2 linked regions of the Canis lupus familiaris genome follow. The protein of the gene in region 2 interacts with the protein of the main gene of each other region in a biochemical or structural test. Links are inferred from orthologs where the notes say so. Each region holds a gene or a part of one and is shown on either strand. Other genes may lie near its edges.

Region 1 (3,500 bases), on a different chromosome or scaffold from region 2:
TGTATATTTCAGTGAGTGATCACCTCCCTGTATTTCCATCACTCCCAGAAAGTTCCTAGAGTACTAGATCTTAAGTTTTCATCCTGAACGTTACATAAATATCTATTCGTGTGACCACCACCCATGTCAAGATAAAAAGGTTTTGTAACAGAGTTCAGACTCAGTGTTAGCCCTTGCAGAACATGTACTCACACATGCTCTCTCTCCCGGGCTGTTTGGGATACTCTGGTGCTGTACTCTGCTTCCTGAATTCTGAAATCTGACTTTGCTTATCTCGGAGTGGCTGCATGATGCAGCTCGTTTCCTCTGATGCCCCTCACTCCTAGTGCTGTGCCCCTGAAGGGATAATGTTTTTGTCTCTCGCAGATCTGGGACACAGCAGGCCAGGAACGGTTCCAGTCCCTTGGTGTGGCCTTCTACAGAGGTGCAGACTGCTGCGTTCTGGTATTTGACGTTACTGCCCCCAACACATTCAAAACCCTCGATAGCTGGAGAGATGAGTTTCTCATCCAGGCCAGTCCCCGGGATCCTGAAAACTTCCCTTTCGTTGTGTTGGGAAACAAGATTGACCTCGAAAACAGACAAGTAAGTGCTAAAGATAGTGGGAATCCTAAATGTGGAGGCTCATGAATCTACCCTCATTAGGGTCTTCTTTTAAAAGTGGCAGCTAAGTTTCAGATGACAGGTACTGTTTTTAGTTTTGATTGGTAAAAACCCATGTGGCTTAAGGAGACCAGCATCCAGTATCTGTGTGTGTGTGTGTGTGTGTGTGTGTGTGTGTGTGTGTGTGTGAGAGAGAGAGAGAGAGAGAGAGAGAGAGAGAAGACCCCACCATGGGGGGAGAGAAGGAGGGATGACTTAACTAGTTTCCTGCCCAGCCTTGGAATCAGGCCTTGCTTCCTAATCTACTAAAGGCATACTGTTTTTGCTGAGGGAAAACAGAGACCATGAAAGTCTGCAAGGGTACAAAGTAGCAAATCCATTTTGTGGAGTTGCCCATACTAGCCATTGTTTTGGTCCTGCTGAAATAATTTGACTTGAGGCTGGTTGCAATCTGCATTTTGGTCTTTTGGATTTAAAGGCAAACTTGCATTTAAAACCTGGCTCAAAAAAAAAAAAAAAAACCAAAAACAAAAAACCTGGCTCATGCACTTTTAATCTGGGAATATTTCTTGGAGTCTCAGTCTTGACTTACATGACAAGAATACTCAATGACAAGAATACAAATGACAAGAATCAGATGACTATACCCAAGAGCCCTGGCACCTAGGAGCAGCTTGGGAAATGGTGACTTTCTAGTTGACCGTTGCTGTTTTCCTCCCCTCTGAGGGACACTGACTTCTGAGTGACTTGTGGTTTCGTGGGTTCTGTGTGAAGTCCAGAAGGGCTCTAGAAAGGTACCTGTGGGAATATGAACTACCTTCCGGCCAGCTGCCTTTGAGGGCAGGGGCCCAGAAGATCTGGTTTAAATCCCTATGCTTTCTCTGCCTGGCTATGACTTTGGGCCATTGCCTTTGCCCTCTGAGCCTCAGTTCTCCTTCTGCATTTGAAGGAATTAGATTTTGTCATTCTTGAGTGCTCTCCTGCCCCTCAGGGGCCTGCCTGGATCTCCATGTGTGCAGAAGATTGCACTCTGGGCTCTGAGCAAAATTGCTCTGGTTTACTTTGAAATAACATTTTTCTTGGGAGCATAGACTCTTAATTATAGCTTGGTTTATTTCTGGCCATTGATCTCTTTTTCTGCCTTTCCTAGGTGATGGTCTTCTCGTGCCTGAAAATGAACTAGGGGTAGGGGAAGGAATTAGGGTAGGAGAGGTAGGGGGACAGTGAGAGCTGCAGAATTCTTTGGCAAGAGGGTGTGGTACAGGTGGTGTAATACTAGCAGTAATGAGGAAGATCTACTGCAAACCTTAAGACCAAGCTGCCGGGCATTTCCTGGGTTGGGACCTCTGAGGTCCCAAGAGAAACGATTCACTACTTCTCAGGCTGCTTATTCCTTTCACCGTTGTCTGTAAGTGTAGCTAGGGGTCAGAAACTATGGATTGTAGAGTGGGCTTGGGTTTGAGGCCCAGCTGTATCACACAGAGCTAGCAACATGACCATGGACAGGTCTGCAGCTCCCTTCCTCCAATCCTGCACACCCTCATCCCAAGTTTGCTCCCTCCCCTGTGCTACCTGTATAGCCTCGGTACTGTGACCTTTCCTAGAGAAGGTACAGTCCATGCTCTCTGCTTCTGTTAAGAGCATACGTACATCTTGCTTCCTCTTCCAGGTGGCCACAAAGCGGGCACAGGCCTGGTGCTACAGCAAAAACAACATTCCCTACTTCGAGACCAGTGCCAAGGAGGCCATCAATGTGGAGCAGGCGTTCCAGACGATTGCAAGGAATGCACTTAAACAGGTGGGTCTCTGGCAGCTGTCTGGCTCCCTCTGGTGACTGACCATCAACCCAGCCCCATGCCTGGCTTTCCTGTCCTTAATCTTTCTTAGTGCTTTTTCCTGTGTAGCCAGAAGAACCCGTGTTGTTTATCTGGGAAGGTAATGAGACGTTCTGCTAAAGCTTCTATAGAAACCCTACTTGTTTGTGAATAATCTATCCAATGCAGAGGCAACAAAGGCAGGCTGAAGCCACCATTATTTGGGTATGTTCTTTATTCTTCAGGAGGCCCTTGGTCTGGTGGTTCCTTCTACCAAAGGAGGGGATAAACTTGAATTCAAATCCCAGGTCTGCTACCCATCATTACGTATGTTTTTTTGTTTTTGTTTTTTGTTTTTTTGTTCTGTTTTGTTTTGTTTTAATCATCTCTGCTTCCATCCCCTCATCTGTCAAATATGAATACTGGCTTTGCAGAGTGGTTGTGAAGATGGAATGAGATGGGCTCACTCTTGGTGTTCTCATAACTGGTTCTGTTTGATCACCAGAAGGAAAGCTTAACCAGAAGTTCTAGGAATTGCATTCCTTGAGTGAGATTTTCTTTCTTATTTATGTTGTTTACTCAGCTGTTCCCACAAGAGACCGTTACCTCTTGTTGGCATGAGGGAGTTGAAAGCTCTCTTGATTCAACAGCTCTTTTGGGGCCAGTGCATTAGGGCAGATCATGAGGCACCATCAGTCATCTGTGGTGGTCAGACTTGGGGAGTGGGTGAGGGTCAGAGGTGAGGTGCACGCCAGAAGGCGCGGCAAACAGGTAGGAAGCATGTGTTAGCTGTAAAGGGCACAACAGGTTTTGCCAGATCTAGGAAACTGGGATTATAGAAAGCAGCAGTTCTTAGCAGAACAGGGCATCTGAACCTGTGGGAAAGGAAGTAACTGGATTGGGTTGTTCCAAGAGCTGGAGGCTGCACCGCGTGTCCCCTGATGAAAGGAATCAAGCCTCCCGAAATGCTGGGAGCCCCCACTGAGCAACACTGATAGCAGGATGCAGGTCTGAGGCCTTTGCTTCCCCCGTCCCCCTTCTTTTAACCCACCTTCACACTTAGGTCAGTAACCCAATGTGCTT
Region 2 (4,012 bases):
CCATAAATGCAAATAATTTCAGTGCAGTATGGGAGGCTATGATAGGGTGTTAGCACTACATAGGGAAATTTAATCCAACATACGGAGGAGATAAAAGGAGGAGGTGGTAGAAGTTGAGCTGAATATTAAGGATATGTTAGCTAGAGAAAGGGAAAATCATTCCATGCTGAAGGAAAAACTGTGACTGAGAAACCACAAACAGTTCAGAGGACTGTTGGTGTAAGGGAAGGTCTACTACTAGCACTTTCTCTTTGAAACTCTTGTAAAATGACTACACAATGACCCCTAAAGCCCCCCTGTCAAACACAATTACTTTAATATAAAGGTCATTTTACCTTGATTACTTCTGCAGCAGTTTATCATAAGAATCTTGTATGGGGGCAGCTCCGTGGCTCAGCGGTATAGCGCCGCCTTTGGCCCAGGGCGTGATCCTGGAGACCTGGGATTGAGTCCCAAGTTCGGCTCCCTGCGTGGAGCCTGCTTCTCCCTCTGCCTCTGTCTCTGCCTCTCTATCTGTGTCTCTTATGAATAAAAAAAAAATCTTGTATGGACTCCTTGTATACGTATAAAAAACCAAACTCAGAACCATTTAAATGCTTATCAAGCAACTATTATGTTTCATATCTTTTTTTCCGTCCTGTAGAGAAAGGCTAATTTTGTAAAAATATACTGCCGGGTGGCTGCTTGGACTAACTAGAACAAATACAGATGCAATTTAGGTTTCATTGTGACAAAACTAAGGCAAGAGGTTTTTTGGTGGGTTTTCATTGGGGAGACACGGAGACTAAAAAGATACGGGATAGTTTGAAAGGGCTGGTGTGAAAAATTATGTTTCAAGGGGACAAAACGAAAGTACACACACACGGGGGAGTAAACAAGTTTCCAGGCCGCAATGAAAATTTCCTTTGTTCACAGAGCAATCCTCTTTCAATTTCAGTCCGGCCTTCATATAAACCAACAATTCTTGCTTCATGGGGGGGAAAAAAAACCCCAGGTTTTCCCATTCATCCTATCTAGCGGAGTAAAAATCTCCATCTCATTACTACCCCAAACCTCCAGGCTAAATGCGCTACTACACTCAGCCTAGAAAATAAATTGCGTCTTTAACATTCACGTAACATTTCAAGTAAAATGTAGCCGCCTACCTGGATCGGCCACCCACGAACTACAATATCCAGAATGCATTGTTTTTCCTTCCGTCTTTTACAAGGGCAATGCCTTACTAGATCTTATTTCCACAAGCAGTAGTCACATGACACGTTTCCTTTCAAGATGGCGGATAATCTCCCTTCGGAGTTTGATGTGATCGTAATAGGGACGGGTATGTGTGGCTCTGGTACTCCCCTAACGAAGTGTAGGAAATCTGTCTCCTTCCTACCTTCTCTGCCATGGCGAGGCTTGGGGAGAAATACTAGGGGTTGAGGAAGGGAGGGAGGATGGGAAGGAAGTGAGGTAGTGTTGAGTCAGCGCGGGACTTCGAAGCTCCAGGGAGGGGCTGGACCCACCGTATTTAGCGCCATTTGAGTAGGGGTCGATCTGGTCGATGCAGATGCTGAGGTTGGTTGCTGCGGGTGATTCTGTAATTTCGTTAGAGGGGGGTGGGTTTGTGGTGTCATGAGAATGGAAGGTCGGGATTTTACCAATGGAGACGCCTTTGGCGCGACATGATTCCCTCCTCGTTGATTTCAGGGTGATATTCCCCATTATTTTGTCTCGCCCTTTCTTAGGAAGTTTTCATGTATTTATGTAGTCCTGGGGTGTAGTGCAGCTCGGATACGACTTAGTCCTTAGTTTTTCGGGAAAGATGCCCAGTTATCGCCCGTGTGCTTATTAATATACTAGGACGAGGACACGGATTCTTTTCTATTGTGTTGAAAAGCCTAGGGAATTGTATTTTGTTGAGGTAGCCATTCCTGCTTTATGATGCTGAAAGACAGCATTTTGCTTTCTGTCACCCACCTATCTACTCACAACTAAATGAGCTGAGAAGAAGCTTCTGTGAATTCCATTACAGGTGTGTGACCTTATCTTCCCCTTGTTTTCCCATTTATTCTCCATGTTTTGGGCGGAGCCAGAAAAATACCCTGCAATTTCTAGTTGACAAATTCAACGTACAACAGGTGGAGAAGACATTTGGCAGCAGTTGGTATTTTGTTTTCTTAATATTGTAAAGGGTGGATTTTAGATGGGATGAAGTAGGTTGTTGAGTGGGGTTTTCTCCTGTTTGCATAATGTGGTAGGTCAGAGAAGCTCTGGTGAATGAGAACCTGTCCATTGTATTAATGAACACGTTTTCTTTCAAACAGTAGGGGCAGCCATGTTTCCAGGGCAGAAGTAAAAATGATAGCTACCTAGTTTTGAATGCTAATTATTTGCTAATTGATGTGCTAAGCATTTTACAAGCTGTATGTAATCCTCACAGCAGCCTGGTTAGAGTAGGTATTTGGTACACTTTACAGAAGAGAAAAGGGGAGCTTAGAATAGTTGCTGTGTGCTCAAGATCACACAGCTAGTAAGTTTCCAAAGGCCCATTCCATCTCAGAAGGAGAATCAGTGGTTCATACCTTCAGAGTTAACCCATATTAATAGAAATAACTGAGAAAAATTGTTTGGAGACCTTGCTTGGCCTTTAAATAGCTGTTTGAATTGCTAGGCACTTAATCTCTCTGAGCCTCAGTCTTGTTTTTAAATACAGGCAGGGTAAACTAGATAGCCTTTCAGGTATTGTCTAACCAAAAATCCTCTCATTCTAATTGCACCTGGATAATTGGTCTCAGGATAGTGAGGACATGTTTATTCTTATTCTGTCTGAAAACTGCATGGCTGCAGATAACTTGGCTGTAGCTGCTGTAAACAGATGTTGAATGAGAGCAGGAAAGAGTCAATAGAGTGATGATTCATTTGTTCTCTCTAGTCTATCCTAAAACCGAGAACAACATCCATTTTTGAATAGTTGTTATACCATACTTCAATTCTATATTATTGCCTTTCTTTTTTGTTACCTAGGAACTTGGGGTGTTTTAAAAATTTTTTGAGTCATTATAAGATTTTTTTCTTATCTGGGTTCAAATTTTAATTGATAAGAGTGTTAATTCCTATTATTAAATGCTGTTAATTCTTAAATACTTTGCTTTCTGGTTCAGTTCATAATATGGACTATATTCATCCTTTGAGTCTGTTATGGTAGAGGTAGGAAGATACTGTGAGTGATACAGAAAATTGCATTAGGTGGCATCTGGTGTGTTTAGAAAAAGACTCATTTTACACTTTCCAGTGAGAGTAATATTATTTCTCAAAGTATGGGAAGAACTTATTCGAAGTTAATCTTAAAAGTTACTTTTTTTCATCTCACTTAATGGTGAACATACTCAAGTTTATCAAGCACATTGCATAAATTTATGTTGTGAAGCATTGTATCTAGGTATATCAAAATGGAAAAATTGGATAAAAGTCATTTCCTAAATGGTTCCAATTATTGTTTAATTTGAATTATTGTTAATGTATTTGGAATACTTTTCTTCTGAAATAGTTTGCTGATAATAGCCTTAAAAATGTTTGCATTAGGGGCACCTGGGTGGCTCAGTCGGTTAAGCATCTAACTCTTGATCTCAGGGTCATGAGTTCAAGCCCCATGTTAGGCCCCACACTGGGTATGGAGACACATATATATATGTGTGTGTGTGTATATATATGTTTTCTTTTTTATGATTTTATTTATTCATTAAAGGCACAGAGAGAGGAGTAGAGACCTAGACAGAAGGAGAAAGGGAGAAGCAGGCTCCCCATGGGAAGCCTGATGTGGGACTCTATCCCAGGACCCTGGGATCACACGCTGAGCTGAAGGCAGATGCTGAACCACTGAGCCACCCAGACATCCCTGTTTTCATTACTAAATACTAGCTTGAGTTAATCTTAGGAAAAGCCAGCATTTCTTAGATTCAATTTTACTGACAAAAGTAGAATTAATCATGCATGTATCACAAACATGAAGAAATAGGCTATGAAATGTAAT

What was found.
Region 1: the proteins of CHM (region 2) and RAB7A are reported together in a solved structure, tested with the Homo sapiens proteins (2 studies listed by BioGRID, with this or other methods). The link is inferred for Canis lupus familiaris from reciprocal best matches to the Homo sapiens genes CHM and RAB7A.

The regions. Positions count from the first base shown.
Region 1 is NC_049241.1:2,796,813-2,800,312, forward strand, and holds part of RAB7A (ras-related protein Rab-7a), read left to right. Parts: intron 1-366; coding exon 367-585; intron 586-2,272; coding exon 2,273-2,401; intron 2,402-3,500.
Region 2 is NC_049260.1:67,086,421-67,090,432, reverse strand, and holds the start of CHM (rab proteins geranylgeranyltransferase component A 1), read left to right. Parts: upstream 1-1,212; 5' UTR 1,213-1,272; coding exon 1,273-1,321; intron 1,322-4,012. UniProt on the Homo sapiens protein: Substrate-binding subunit of the Rab geranylgeranyltransferase (GGTase) complex.